Linked DNA regions of Lonchura striata. The protein of the gene in region 1 purifies or fractionates together with the protein of each later gene. This does not show direct contact. Links are inferred from orthologs where the notes say so. Each region holds a gene or a part of one and is shown in the gene's direction. Other genes may lie near its edges.

Region 1 (7,263 bases):
CAGGCAAAACCCGTGTGCCTACAAGGAGTCGTAGGGTTTTTGGGGGGGGGTTGTCCACATGGACCAGCCTTACCATGAAATGTATTTCCCTCCTGGAACTGCTTGTGCATTGCTGATCAAGTCAGTTCTGGAACAAGCTAAATCCTTCCTCTAAACGAGATGTTGTCCCAGTTAATCTTTCTTGGCATTTTGTGTTATGATCCTTCCCCTGTTTCGCTGGGTACACCCCTCTCTCTCTCACACAAAATCCTCCTGTTCATGGCAGTGATTTTTCTTGGGCATCTATTTCCCAAATGAGACATTCCAGGGATCCAGCCAGGAAACTTAATTCCACAAAACCCTTCCCTGAAACAAACCTTTTCATGCTCTCTCTTAATAGTAAGTCATGTGGTGTTTATATAATTGTGTTTAAAATATCCTTGGCTATGTTGTTTTACAGATTTTTAAAAAATAACTTATACAATCCTTGTTTTTTTCCTCTGTGGACTATTTTTTATATGGGAGTGGGGTATCTTTTTGTGTCTTATTCCTTCTCCTTTTCTCCTCTCTGACCCTGCAAAGCCACTCTTTGCACGAGACATATGTAAACTTTCCTACGCTGCATGTTCTGATTTTCATTGTTAATAGTTTTAATGAGTTAAACCTCTTGCCAGTGAAATTGTCACCAGTTCCACACGGAACTGGGATAATCCCTGCTTGGTTTCGGCTGCAACGACACCTGCCCTGCCTGGGCTTGCCCACAAGAGCTCACCTCAGCCAGGTGAGGAGAGAAAGCCACACTGTCTCCAGCCCTCACCTGCCTGGACCAAATCCAAGGAAAGATGGAGCTATGGTGAACTGATCTTTAAGTTAATAAACTATTGATCTCCCCTGACAAATGAATCTGTGCTTTTTCCAAATTCATTAAGTCCTCACTGGAAGCACTGCATGTCCTTACTTTGCTGGACAAAGCAGCTCCCCTGGCTGGAGCACCTGTGGGAGACATGCTCAGGAACAGATGAGCTGCATCTGCAAAAACCTCGCTATTGTTGTTGCAAAGGTCTTTTACCTAGAGAAGAAACTCAAATCCAGAATACCACCCTGTGCCTGCCCTGTGCCAGGCCGGGCTGGTGCACCCAGGGCCATCTTACTGGGGTTTGGGGCCGTGCTGGGGTGGGTGTATTCTGCAGTGTGGATGAGCTGGCAGAAAAACTTGCTCCCCTTCCCCACTCATACAAGGAGCATCCCGAGCTCCCAGTTCCCCACTGCAGCTCCCAGCAGCTGTTCCTTGTTGGCTGTCTGGGAAAGAGAGGAGCTGCTGCTGTGGCTGGGGATGCAGGGAGCTGTAGAACCCTTTGTTTGTCGTGTTGGTTTTGCAACAACCATGGGCCAAGTGCCCAGGGTAGTGCCTGGAAATCTGGAACTGAGCTTTTTAAGTGGGGGGAAAAATAAAAGAAATCGAGCCCTCCTACAAGGGAAGACGCTTTCTCAGGGTTGTGCAGCTGTGGGCTCCTGCATTTTGTTGGTCTTCACATTCATCAGATGATAAATGTGAATTAATCACATACAGTGATTCCTTTTGCTGCAGGATTTCCCTTTCAGTCTCAGGCCAAACCAGAGGTCAGAACTGGGGTGACACACTTCTGGCTTCTGCCCCTTGGGTTGGAAAACACCAAACTTCATTTCTCCTGCTGTGTAAGTGAGAAAACAGGAGCTGTGGATCAGGAGTACTGTGCCAGCCTTCCAGTTCTCTGGCTCACAGCAGCCTGCCTCTAAACACTGCTCCCTGGTATATTTAGATGTACTGAAATGCTACAAAGAAAGCAAAATGCTTACTCTTACATCTTGACATAACTTAAAATACACACTGGGGAAGGCAAGGCAATTTAAGATGACCAGTCCCCAGCAGTTCCAGCTCTATCCTGCTTTCTGCTGCCTTCCAGCCTGCCAGGGAAAGAAAAACAAATTCTGCACATTGAATTCATGCAACAACATCAGCTTCCAGCGTTTTCCTCAGAAATCATTCTTGTAAAGTAATAAAATTCAGATTATTTCTCCAAGCTGTTGCAATACTTGCTCAGAGCTATTAAATTCTGACTGGTATGCTCAGAGGATCAAAGTGGCTGTGTCTTCAAGATAAATGCATATTTAGGCAATTTATTAAAGCTCATTTCTCTGTTGTCTCTTGGCACCAAAGCCAAATCTATAATAGCTGTTTTCTGGAAAATCTTAGCGCAGCCTGACTCCTCGTTTGCAGTTTGGCCCTGGGGTTGCAGCCACGGCCATCTGCCATTGTGCAGTTGGCAGGTGGGGAGAACAGATCTTAAAAATCATTGCTTTGAGTTTTCACTGCAAAGAAAGGACTGTCGAGAGCTTGTGTGCAGCGTCTGAGACCCAGAATCCATCTGCTCGCAATTACAATTCTATTGTGGCTGTAGAGCTGAAGCAAACAGATGTATTGTGCTGAGGGAGACAGGTCCATGCTTTATTTGGCCTTGTCAGAGGCAGGGCCTGCTTTCCAGGAGGCTAAAAGAGTCTCCTTGTAAGAGCAGCCTGAAATGACTAAAGTCTTTAACGCTGCATGATGCCTGAGTCATGTACAACAGCGCTGCTAATTCTTGGGTTTTTCTTGTGACAGCTCCCTCTTGTTCTTGCTCCCTCCTATGTTATAAAACAAATGCAGCTGTTATAAAAAACCTGACTCTGTGCTTTCCCATAGGGCTTTGATGAGGGAGTTTTGCCAGCAGGGAGCACAGGAACTGCCTGAGCCCAGCTGATCCCTGGCAGGGATCTGCAGTCCTGGACACTGAGGCAGGCCCGGGGTGATGCCCTGAGAAGCTCCCAAAAAGAAAAGCACGAGCCATCCTTGAGCAGTGCCAAGCGTGGCAGCAGTGTTCAGCCTGTTATCACATCCTCTGGGTTCACAGAAATGTCATGGCTCACAAAAAACATCCTCCCCACGATAGCAGCGGCGGCAGAAATCATTTTTCCTCATTCTGCTCTGCGGGCCATGAAGGCCAGGGAAGGATTTCCCCAGAAGCAGCAGCTTGGTGACATTGAGCAGGTTTTGGGGGCCTGGGGGTGTCCCTTAAATGTCACTTCCAGTCCCGTCACTGCAGTGTGGCTCACCCGCCAGCTGTGCCTGTCCCAGTGGTGCCAGGCAGTGCCCCAGCCTCAGCAGCCAGAGCCCCCTCAGCTCCCCCAGCGCTACTCCCAGCCCTTCCTTGCTGTTCCCCAAATTCCCAAAGCCAGTTAGGGGGATGTCGTGACGTTTGCGATCACGTTTTGTCTCACAGATAAAAAGGGTGTGTGGTGCTGCAGCCTGTGGGGTGTTCCCACAGCACCTCAGACCAGGAGTGCACGTGGAAGTGACAGGGAAACTGCCCCAAAAGCTGCAGGGGGAAGATGTTTATGGGCAAAACAATGTCCAGGAGCAAAGGCTGAGCTGCTGCTGGGATGGATGGAGAGCACCAAGAGCTGTGGCTGCTGCAGAAGGTGCCCTGAGGAGCAGCAAGTGTTTGAACACGGTTCTGTCTGAAGAGGAGCACCAGCCATGGCGTGAAGCGTGCTCCTCCTGCTCTGCCCGGATTTCTGCAGCTAAATCTGCGCCTGGAAACACCAGAAGGTGGGAGGGGACCTCTGGGGACACCTGTGCTGACAGCAAAGCCAAATCCCTCCTGGGCTTGTGAGCCATGGCTTGGGAGTGGGGCTGGGAGCTGGCCCGGGAGGAGCAGAACGCGGGGATGGGGTGCTGGGGAGGTATCAGTCCATGAGGGGAAGGGGAGGCAGGGATGGGGTGCTGGGGGATATATCAGTCCTTGATGGGAAGGGATGGGGTGCTGGGGGATATATCAGTCCCTGAGGGGAAGGGGAGGCAGGGATGGGGTGCTGGGGGATATATCAGTCCCTGAGGGGAACACAGGCACGGGGTGCTGGGGCTGTACCGGTCCCTGAGGGGAAGGCAGGGATGGGCTGTCGGGGCTGTACCCCTCCCTGAGGGGAAGGCAGGGATGGGCTGTCGGGGCCGCACCGGTCCCTGAGGGGAAGGGAAGGCGGGAGGGGCGGGCAGGGCGGTCTCTGCCGCTCGCTGTCTCGGCGCTCGGCCGCCCGGGCTGCGCGCGCTCGGCGCTCGGCGCTCGGCGCGGCGTACTGCGGCGGCGCGGCGCGGTGGGTCCCGCTGTGTGTCCCGCTGTGTGTGTCCCGCTGTGTGTGTCCCGCTGTGTCCGTCCCGCTGTGTCCCGGTCTGTCGCCGTCTGTCGCGATGGTGAAGCTCACGGCGGAGCTGATCGAGCAAGCGGCACAGTACACCAATGCCGTCCGCGACCGGGAGCTGGATCTGCGCGGTGCGCGGGCCCCGCGGGGCGAGAGGGCCGCGCTGGGAAGGGGCTGAGGGCTGCGGGCTGCGGGCCGGGGTGGGCGCGGGGCTGTGCTGGGGCCTGGCGGTGCGTCCCGGAGGAGAGGCCGTGACGGGGTTCGGAGGTCCGTGATGGATCTCCCAGTGGGGCCTGGCGCCTTCCGCGGCCGGAGGTGCGGAAGGAGGACGGGGACGCCGCGGGAGGGTGCTGGAGGGGCTGCGGCGGCCGGGGGTGGGGGTGAAGAGCGCCTGGAGAGGCTGCAGCGGCTTCGGGACCTGCGGGGGGTGTGAGGGCGTGAATCACAGAGTGCTAGAACGCTTTAGGATGGAAGGGAACCTAAAGATCATCTCGTGCCAACCACCAGAAGGCGATACTGGAGGGAATGTGGGAGGCATGTGCTGTGGCGGTGAAAGGTGGGTTCGGCTCGGAGGACACGTCCAGGCAGGGAGCTGGGGTTTTGCTGTGGGGGAGGATGAAGGATTCAAAAAGCCATGAGGGCTGTTGGGCTTGAGGAGGAGAGTTTGGTCTGGGAGTGGTGTGGAGCAGAATCAGTCCCGAGGTGTTTTGTCTGAGCCTTATCAGCATCCCGATTTGCCCCCACACACTCTGTTCTGTCTGCTCTGCTGTGGGCACCATCTAATCCCTGCCCTGCGCTCTCTCTCCAGGCTATAAAATCCCTGTCATTGAGAACTTGGGTGCCACTCTGGACCAGTTTGATGCCATCGATTTCTCTGACAACGAGATCCGCAAGCTGGACGGGTTCCCCCTGCTGCGGAGGCTGAAAACGCTCCTCATGAATAACAACAGGATTTGGTAAGGGCTGTGCTTTGGCCTGATGGGACTCTGGGCAGAGGAAAATCCTCTTGGGGGAGAGGAGTGTGTGTGCATCTTTCAGTGCTGGGCAGATGCAGGAGTGTTTGTTTGAGGCAATAAAATCAGCACTGAGGACTGTGTGGGCCCTCTTTCTGATTCAATGCAAAATTCAGTGTTTGTTTCTCAGCCAGGACAAGGAGATGCAGAGTTTGGGGTCTGGCCACATCTTTGGATTTCAGTAATCAGCTCCAGAAAGACATGAGAAAAGGGATACCTGCAAGGGAATGGATTTAAATCTCATTGCACCTAATATTCTTGCAGTGATTTATTGCCAGCTTTATTAGAAAAGTGTTTTGGATGCTCACCCAGACTTCTGCCAGTGTCAGACTGGGTTGTTGAGTTTCTCTGTGTGTTTCCAGCATTGCTAATTCCTGCCCTAAATGAAACCTTTGCTTTTTCTTCTTCTTCAGTCGGATTGGTGAGAACCTGGAGCAGGCTCTGCCCAGCCTCACAGAGCTCATTCTTACCAACAACAACATTGCTGAACTGGTAAGTTGGCATGCAGGATAAAGCTAAACAAGCTTAAAATTTGTGGTTTTCATCTCTCCAATTGACCATTTTCCTGAGAGTGCCATATCCTTTTGGTAATAGTTGGTTCTTTCTCTTTAGAGTAACATCCTGCAGTTTTGGCAGTAGTTAATGGTGTACATGCTTTAATGAACATGATTTGCATCATGTAGTGGAACAGCAGTCACAAAGCTTAGTGGTTTTCCTATTAAAATAATTGCAGTAATTTAATTAATCTCAAAAATATATATTAGTTCAGGAACTTCGTTTTCAAATAGTTGATTTTTTTTTTGCTAAAGGCGCTTAAAATATCTTGCTGTGCTCCCTTTACCCAGGGTGAACTGGATCCATTATCAAGTATTAAATCATTGACTTACCTGAGGTATGTAACCCCAAAAAGAAAAGCTGCTCTTTCTCTGGTGTTTGAACTTTGCTGCTGGCCTGGCCCTTTGCTTTGGTCTGGAATGCTCTGCTTTTTATGAGCTGATGTGACAGATCCTTTATGTCTAAAAATTTAATTTATAAACTTAATGAGCATCTGGTAATTAATAGCTGAGGTTTTATATTACTGACAGACTGTTTCTAATGAGATGTAACATCTCTAGAAACCAATACACAAGTGCTGAAGTGAGTTTAACCTTTAAAAATCTAAACCCAAGATGTTTAATCTGTTGATAAAAAAAGTTTAAAATACATGTAAACAAGGACTTTTCAGTAATAATAAAGTGATGTTTCAGTTACTTTTTTGGGGGAGTATTATGATTATTTTGAGGTTGTTCTTAATGTCATCCTTCAGTTAAATCTACTGAATTGCTAAAGTGCAAGTTTTTACTATAATTTCCATAATATCAAAGAACTGTCACTGAACTTATTTCATGATGTTATTTGTTACCTGTTACAGCAGGAAGTGCATTAATGCATTTCAAGTATATTAATATATTTCAATACAAGTGTATTAAAAAAAATTATATTAAAAGCCTCTTTATAACCTTTATTTACTTCACAGCGTTCTAAGGAATCCTGTAACAAATAAGAAACATTACAGATTATATTTAATTCATAAAGTTCCCCAGGTCAGAGTGCTGGATTTTCAAAAAGTGAAGCTCAAAGTAAGTCTGCTTGCTTTTGATTTAGGTATTTGTACTTGGTGGGGTTTTTTTGGTTTGGTTGGGCTTCTTTTTAGGGTTTTCTTTTGGGGTTTTTTGCGGTTTCGGTTTTTTTGGGGTTTTTTTTGCACTTTTGAAAATTCACCACTAACATCAATCTTGTTGCCATAGTTGTAAATTTTATTGAAACTCTGTAAGTGGCTCTACAATGCTCTCATTGTTTTCTTTCATGGTTTCCTTCTGTTAAGGATATTTTAATTTTATTAAAATATTTTTAAAAAGCTGTTTAATTATGTTTAATTAAGTTCTATTGCCTTTGTTTAGTGTTAACTCTTTCTTGTCCTTCTGGTGTTGGTAGGAGACACCTCTAGAGAAAGAAATGAGCAAACACCAGAGCCCTCAGCCCTGGGTGGGGGATGAGTGTGGGAAAGAGCTCTTCATTT
Region 2 (6,919 bases), on another chromosome or scaffold:
TTCCTACAGCTTTATACAATAAACCATTTTCGTGACACTTTCTCTTCTGTGTCTCTTGAACAGCAGGCACAGGGCAGAATGCTGAGTGGGTGCTGGGCTCTGCTCAGCCTTGCCTCACCCCTGATCCCATTCTGGGGACGGGCAACCTCTGCAGTGCTTGTGCCTGCCTTCCCAAACCACAGCCCAGGACCAGCCGTGCCGGCCCTGTGATTGTGGCCACAGCGTCTCCCTCCTCCTGCTGCGTGGCTGCAGTGGCTTCCAGGGGCTGGGGGTGTCCATCTGTCTGTCCTTGCTGTCTTTGCAGGCTGGCTGTGGGACTGTTGGGATGGCTGTGGTACCAAGCCAACCCTGCTGCAGAGCAGCCTCCTGCCCTGCAGTGTGCACTGCCTGCCCATGCCACAGCATTCCAAGGGGACTCCTGGGGTAGCTGCAGCCTCCAGCCAGGATATCCACGGTCCCTCTTGGCAGCCTTCCCTGAAGTGCTGCATGCTCTGTACTCATGTTTATCAGCCAGGGAGCCATGTGTTCCCTAACATATGAAACTATTTTCCACAGATCCTTTACATTTACCAACAGCTGCTGTGACTTGCTCTGGACTTGCCTGCTCCAGCCCTCTCAGCACAGTGGCTAGGCTCCCATGGGTGCTGCTGTGGTGGCAGGCTGGGCACAGCCCACGGGGTGCCTCTGCAGGACCATGGCACTGGTGTGTGCACATTCCTGGCCGCTTCAAAGGCTCTGCTCTGCTGGCTGATGGAATTCTAGCACGATTTTTGTTGCTCTTGCTGCCCTGTGACCTGGGCTGGGCTCTGGTGCTGTGCTGGCCCTTGGAGGGTGAGTGAATAGCTCCAGCCCAGAGGTTCCCAGCTGAGCCTGTCCTCCAGCAGCAGCAGCTCCAGCCGGGCTTTCTGCAGTGCTGTTTCCAGGGATTAACCGCAAAAGGTTTCTATACAAGGGGCCCCCAGGCTCTTCTTTCAGTCAGCCTCCAGAGCCTCACGTTTTTAGCCAAAAAAGGAAATGACCCAGCTGCACGTAGCACTGAAACATCTGGATTTTATCCCTGTCATGAATGGGTCATGGCTGTACATGGCCCAGTGCCTGATTTACAGGAGGGGGAGGGTGATGTCATGCACAAACATCCCCCGAGACTCTGGAGTGTGGGTCTGAAACAGTCATGGAAATTTTATTAGGCACAAGGAGTGGTGTGAGGGGGGTCAAGCCAGGGCTGTTGTGCTGGTGAGGTGGGATGGGGGAAGCTGCTGAGGACATGGGGCAGCACTGCAGGGGTAGAAAGAGACCCTGGCACTGACCAAATCTGCCCAAGCTATGCCCTCCTGCACCACTGTGGATCAGGGGCAGCGTTTGCAGCCCCAATGGGCAGAGCCAGGTACAAGCCACTGCCTGGGGAGTCCTGTGCAGGGCCAGGAGTTGGACTTTGATGATCCTCATGGGTTCAGGATATTCTGTGATTCTCTGCATTTCAGCTCCCAGTCCCTGAAATGAAATAGCATCTCTTAGTCCAGCTTTCTCCCAATTCCTCCCATGTGCACTGCCACCTGTGGGCTGAGGAGGAGGGTGGTCATGCAAGGGCTGGTCTTGTCCCACCTTGATCCTCCTGATGCCAGCAGTCCAAAATAAGAAGGCCATGTGGCTGGAGAGGGCACTGCTGGATTTCAACTTCTTCCCTTTCCAGAGTGAAGGTTCATGCAAAGAGAAATGGAAGAACACTAAGCTCAGAATCATATCTCTGTTTTTATTTTTAGGCAGGCATTCATGAAGAAAAGTGATGTAATTTGCCTATAATGCAAGGGAGTAATTAAAGACAGTATTCTTACCTGCAGCATCATCCTATCCTCATTGAAGGATCATCTTTGGCTGCCATTAAGACAATTTTTTTTCTTGCTTTTGGCTGAGAGTAATTTATTGCACATGGCAGAAAAATATTAATGATTTATTAATATACAGTGAGTCAAAATGTAATCACAGCTTTGCATTTGGCAGTGTTGGGGCAAGGCACCCTTGGATTTAGGGGGGATCTGAAGAAGGCAGTTGAAACCCACATGGGGCTGAAAGCAAAGTCTGTGCTGCTGGGCACTGAGGCACCGGCCGTGGGGAGCCAGCACGGCACGGCCTGGCTGGGCACTGGACAGCGCTGCTGTGGCCGGGCAACCCCGGGAGGCTCCAGGCTGGGGCAGCCCTAAATCCAAACCGGCACCTCGGGCCACTCAGTGCCACCAAGCACCGTGCTCGGACATGGCCCTGTGCTCGGACACTGTGCTTGGACACCGTGCTCGGACACGGCCCTGTGCTCGGACAGTGCGCTCGGACACCGTGCTCAGACACGGCCCTGTGCTCGGACAGTGCGCTCGGACACTGCGCTTGGACACCGTGCTCGGACATGGCCCTGTGCTCGGACACTGCGCTTGGACACCGTGCTCGGACACGGCCCTGTGCTCGGACAGTGCGCTCGGACACCGTGCTTGGACACGGCCCTCTGCTCAGACACTGTGCTTTGACACCATGGCTCGGACACGGCCCTGCGCTCGGACACTGCGCTCGGACACTGTGCTCGGACACTGTGCTCGGACACTGCGCTTGGACACTGCGCTTGGACACGGCCCCGTGCTTGGACACTGTACTCGGACACTGTGCTCAGACATGGCCCTGTGCTCGAACACTGTACTCAGACACCGTGCTCGGACACGGCCCTGTGCTCGGACACTGTGCTTGGACACTGTGCTCGGACACGGCCCTGTGCTCGGACACTGTACTCGGACACTGTGCTTGGACACTGCGCTTGGACACCGTGCTCGGACAGGGCCCTGTGCTCAGACACTGTGCTTTGACACCATGGCTCGGACACGGCCCTGCGCTCGGACACTGCGCTCGGACACTGTGCTTGGACACTGTGCTCGGACACTGCGCTTGGACACTGCGCTTGGACACTGTGCTCGGACAGTGCGCTCGGACACCGTGCTTGGACACGGCCCTGTGCTCGGACACTGTGCTTGGACACTGTGCTCGGACACGGCCCTGTGCTCGGACACTGTGCTTGGACACTGTGCTCAGACACGGCCCTGTGCTCGGACAGTGCGCTCGGACACCGTGCTCGGACACGGCCCTGTGCTCGGACACTGTGCTTGGACACTGTACTCGGACACTGCGCTCGGACACCGTGCTCGGACATGGCCCTGTGCTCGGACACTGCGCTTGGACACAGCCCTGCAGCTCGGACACCGTGCTCGGACACGGCCCCGTGCTTGGACACTGCACTTGGACACCGTGCTCGGACACGGCCCTGTGCTCGGACACTGTACTCGGACACTGTGCTCGGACACGGCCCTGCTCTCGGACACTGCGCTCGGACACGGCCCTGTGCTCGGACACTGTACCCAGACACTGTGCTTGGCCACAGCCCTGCGGCTCGGACACCGCACTCCGATACGGTTCTGCCACTCGGACACTGTACTCGGACGCTGTACTCAGACACGGCCCTGCCGCACGGACACGGCCCCACACTCGCATACTTCGTTCAGACACGGTCCGTGCTTGGACACCGCGCTCGGACACGGCCCGCGCTGAGGGGCACGGCCCGCGCTGAGGGGCACGGCCCGCGCTGAGGGGCACGGCCCGGCCGCTCGAACAGTGTACTCGGGCACGGCCCCGCTCTCAGACACCGCTGTCGGACACCGGCCCCCTCTCAGACACTGTACTCGGGCACGGCCCCGCTGTCAGACACCGCTGTCGGACACATCCCCGCTGTCAGACACCGCTGTCGGACACAAACCCGCGGTCACACACCGCGCTCGGGCACGGCCGCAGCCGCCTCCTGCCGGCCGCGCCGCGGCCCCGCGCAGCGCCCCGGAACCGGAACCTCCCCACACAGCGGGGCCTCGCCGCGGCCTGCCGGCGGCTGCGAGCCGAGCGCGGCATGGAGACGATCCTGGAGCAGCAGCGGCGCTACCATGAGGAGCGGGAGCGCCTCATGGACGTGATGGTGAAGGAGATGCTCACCAAGAAGTCCACGGTGCGCCCGGGGCCTTGTGGGGGGTGCGGGAGGCTCCCCCGGGCCCGCGCTCACCGCTCTGCTCTGCCCGCAGCTCCGCGACCAGATCAACTCGGACCACCGCACCCGGGCCATGCAGGACGTGAGTGCTGCGGGCGGGAGCGGGGCTGGGCCGGGCCGGGCCGGGCGGCTCCCCGGGGCCGCCGGGGCCCGTCCCGGTGACGGGCTCGGTGACGGGCTCGGTGACGGGCTCGGTGATGGGCTCGGTGACGGGCTCGGTGACGGGCTCGGTGACGGGCTCGATGATGGGCTCGATAACGGGCTCGATAACGGGCTCGGTGACGGGCTCGGCGCCACTCGGGCCGCTCCTTTGTTCCGCAGAGGTACATGGAAGTGAGCGGCAACCTGCGGGACCTGTACGACGACAAGGACGGGTGAGTGTGCCCGGGGCCCTCGTGTGTCGGAGCGTGCCGGGCTGCTGGATCCAGTGTGTCTAAAGACTGACACGGGAATGGAGAGGTGGCGGCCGAGTGCAGGGCAGGACGCGAGTGCACCCAGGAGCATCCGTGTAGGATGGGCAGGTTTTGTTGTGTTGTGTCGTGGGGAGGCCCTGCCTGCTCCCGGGGTTTGTCAGGGGCTGCAGCCTGTGTGGGCTGTGACCATGAGAGCCTGGTGGGCTGGGAGGTCCCCATGACTTAAAGGTTTGCAGTCTAGACACTGCAGCACAGCCCTGGACTAAGGTTGTGTCAGTGTCATCCTTCCCTTCCCTTCCCTTCCCTTCCCTTATTCCCTTATTCCCTTATTCCCTTATTCCCTTCCTTTCCCTTTCCTTCCCTTATTCCCTTCTTCCCTTCCCCCCTTCCCTTCTTCCCTTCCTTTCCCTTCCTTTCCTTTGCTCCCTTATTCCCTTCCCTTCCTAATCTCTTGCTGTCTGTGAACTCATAGCCTGCGTAAGGAAGAACTCAGTGCCATTTCCGGGCCAAATGAATTTGCAGAGTTTTACAACAGACTGAAGCAAATTAAGGAATTTCACCGGAAGCACCCAAATGAGGTGAGTAGTTACCTGGTCCATAGGAAGAGGTGTGCTGTGCTCTGTTGGGTCTCATCCCTAAAGGAAACAGAGGTTTTGTTTCCCCAGTTTTATTGCTTTAACACACAAGTACTGAGAACACACAGCACAGATGCTCAGGGTCAGGCAGCATGTCAGGGAGCAGTGCAGGATGCTCACCCTGTTCCCTGCTAGAACAGGGATGTTCAGCTGAGCTGGGATCAGATCTCACCTTTCTTGTGCTGGCTAAAGCCACACTTTTGCCTTTGTGCAGAAAGAAAGGTGACAAAGCTTTGAGTCTCTTTTCTGTTTGCAATTTCATTATTTGCCACCTTGCATGATTTTATAGTAGTTATTCTGGGACAGGAGCTGAAGTAAATCGCTCTGTGCCTTGTATCTGCCTTTGCAGATCTGTGTTCCTATGTCAGTGGAGTTTGAGGAGCTGCTGAAGGCCAAAGACAACCCGAGTGAAGAAGCTCAGAGTAAGTTTGTAGTTTGCTCAAGCTCTGGCATTATTTAATAGGCTGTTTGATCTGGTTTGCGTGTTTCAGGGCCTCACCTCCCTTTTACTAAATGACTTCTGAAAATTCTCCTGTCATCTAAATGGTTCTGAACTGGAGTCCCTGGAACAGTCCCCAGTGAGGCTGCTGTTCCTGAGGAATGTTCTGGTGCTTGCACAGAGCAGCAGTTGGGGCTGCTCAATGAGTGTCAGAGACATTGTAGCACCTTCCTTAAGCATAAATGACTTTGCAGCTGATCCTTTTCCAGTTCAAAAAGAGTTGTATAATACAAGTAGGGAATATTAAGTTCATAATAAAGCTTTTCATGATCTTTCCTACAGATCTGGTGGAGTTCACAGATGAGGAAGGGTATGGCCGATACTTGGATTTGCATGATTGTTATCTCAAGTACATCAACCTGAAATCATCAGAGGTGAGTGTCTGCTGTGTGTGGGCCCAGGGATCTCCAGGCCCTGCCCGGGCTGAGGCTTGTCTTTTCTAGGAACTGGTTGTTAATCTGGCCTTGTATGAGCTCTGACTCGGACTTTCTGTTCTTAGAAATTGGATTATATCACTTACTTATCCACATTTGACCAACTCTTCGATATTCCCAAGGAGAGGAAAAATGCTGAATATAAGAGGTAAGCTTGTTTGCCTGCCTGTTTCCTTTATGGTGAGAAGGAATTTGCTTCTGAAGTGTCCAGCTGCAGAGATTGTAATTAACAGCCAAACTTAACTCACATAAATCATGTCCCTGAGCTCAGTCATGTGTCTGAGCCCCAATCAAACTTGCAGTGCAGCAGAGATGTGGAAAGACACATTCAGCTCAGAGGAAGAGCTTTAATGTACCATTGGACCTGTAATGGCAAAAAAATCTGTGGAAAACTGGCCATGCCTTGGTCACGTTCCTCTGCAGCACTGGAGGGTAGTGACTGTCCAAAGATGTGGTTAGAGGGTGACAGTGAATTACCTGTGCTCATGATTCCCCTGTATTCCAGGTATCTTGAAATGCTCCTTGAGTACCTGCAGGATTACACAGATCGAGTGAAGCCATTACTGGACCAGAATGAACTTTTTGGGAAAATTCAGACGGAGTTTGAGAAGAAGTGGGAGAACGGCACGTTCCCAGGCTGGCCGGTGAGCAGCCTGAGCTGGGTGATCTTCCTGCGTTTGGGAGGGGTTTGTGTGAGTCATTTGTGTAAAGTCATTGCTGGAGGTGACCATGACAGTGAGGGCTGCAGCTCTGTGTCACCAGGGTGCAGGGTGATACCAACCTGAATTTAAAACCCAGCATACCTGGTTTAAAATGAGCATTGTTTCAGGTTGGCTTATTTTGCGTCTTTACTACTGCTCCATTTTCAGTTTAGT

The links.
Region 2: the proteins of SNRPA1 (region 1) and SF3A3 purify together in Homo sapiens (affinity purification with mass spectrometry; 6 studies listed by BioGRID and IntAct, counting the BioPlex papers as one, with this or other methods). This does not show direct contact. The link is inferred for Lonchura striata from reciprocal best matches to the Homo sapiens genes SNRPA1 and SF3A3.

The regions. Positions count from the first base shown.
Region 1 is NC_134613.1:21,794,658-21,801,920, reverse strand, and holds the start of SNRPA1 (U2 small nuclear ribonucleoprotein A'), read left to right. Parts: upstream 1-4,163; 5' UTR 4,164-4,240; coding exon 4,241-4,322; intron 4,323-4,999; coding exon 5,000-5,147; intron 5,148-5,617; coding exon 5,618-5,696; intron 5,697-6,049; coding exon 6,050-6,096; intron 6,097-6,720; coding exon 6,721-6,823; intron 6,824-7,263. UniProt on the Homo sapiens protein: Involved in pre-mRNA splicing as component of the spliceosome. Associated with sn-RNP U2, where it contributes to the binding of stem loop IV of U2 snRNA.
Region 2 is NC_134628.1:4,815,415-4,822,333, reverse strand, and holds the start of SF3A3 (splicing factor 3A subunit 3), read left to right. Parts: upstream 1-3,866; 5' UTR 3,867-3,928; coding exon 3,929-4,024; intron 4,025-4,097; coding exon 4,098-4,145; intron 4,146-4,384; coding exon 4,385-4,437; intron 4,438-4,948; coding exon 4,949-5,054; intron 5,055-5,460; coding exon 5,461-5,533; intron 5,534-5,892; coding exon 5,893-5,984; intron 5,985-6,109; coding exon 6,110-6,192; intron 6,193-6,549; coding exon 6,550-6,688; intron 6,689-6,919. UniProt on the Homo sapiens protein: Component of the 17S U2 SnRNP complex of the spliceosome, a large ribonucleoprotein complex that removes introns from transcribed pre-mRNAs.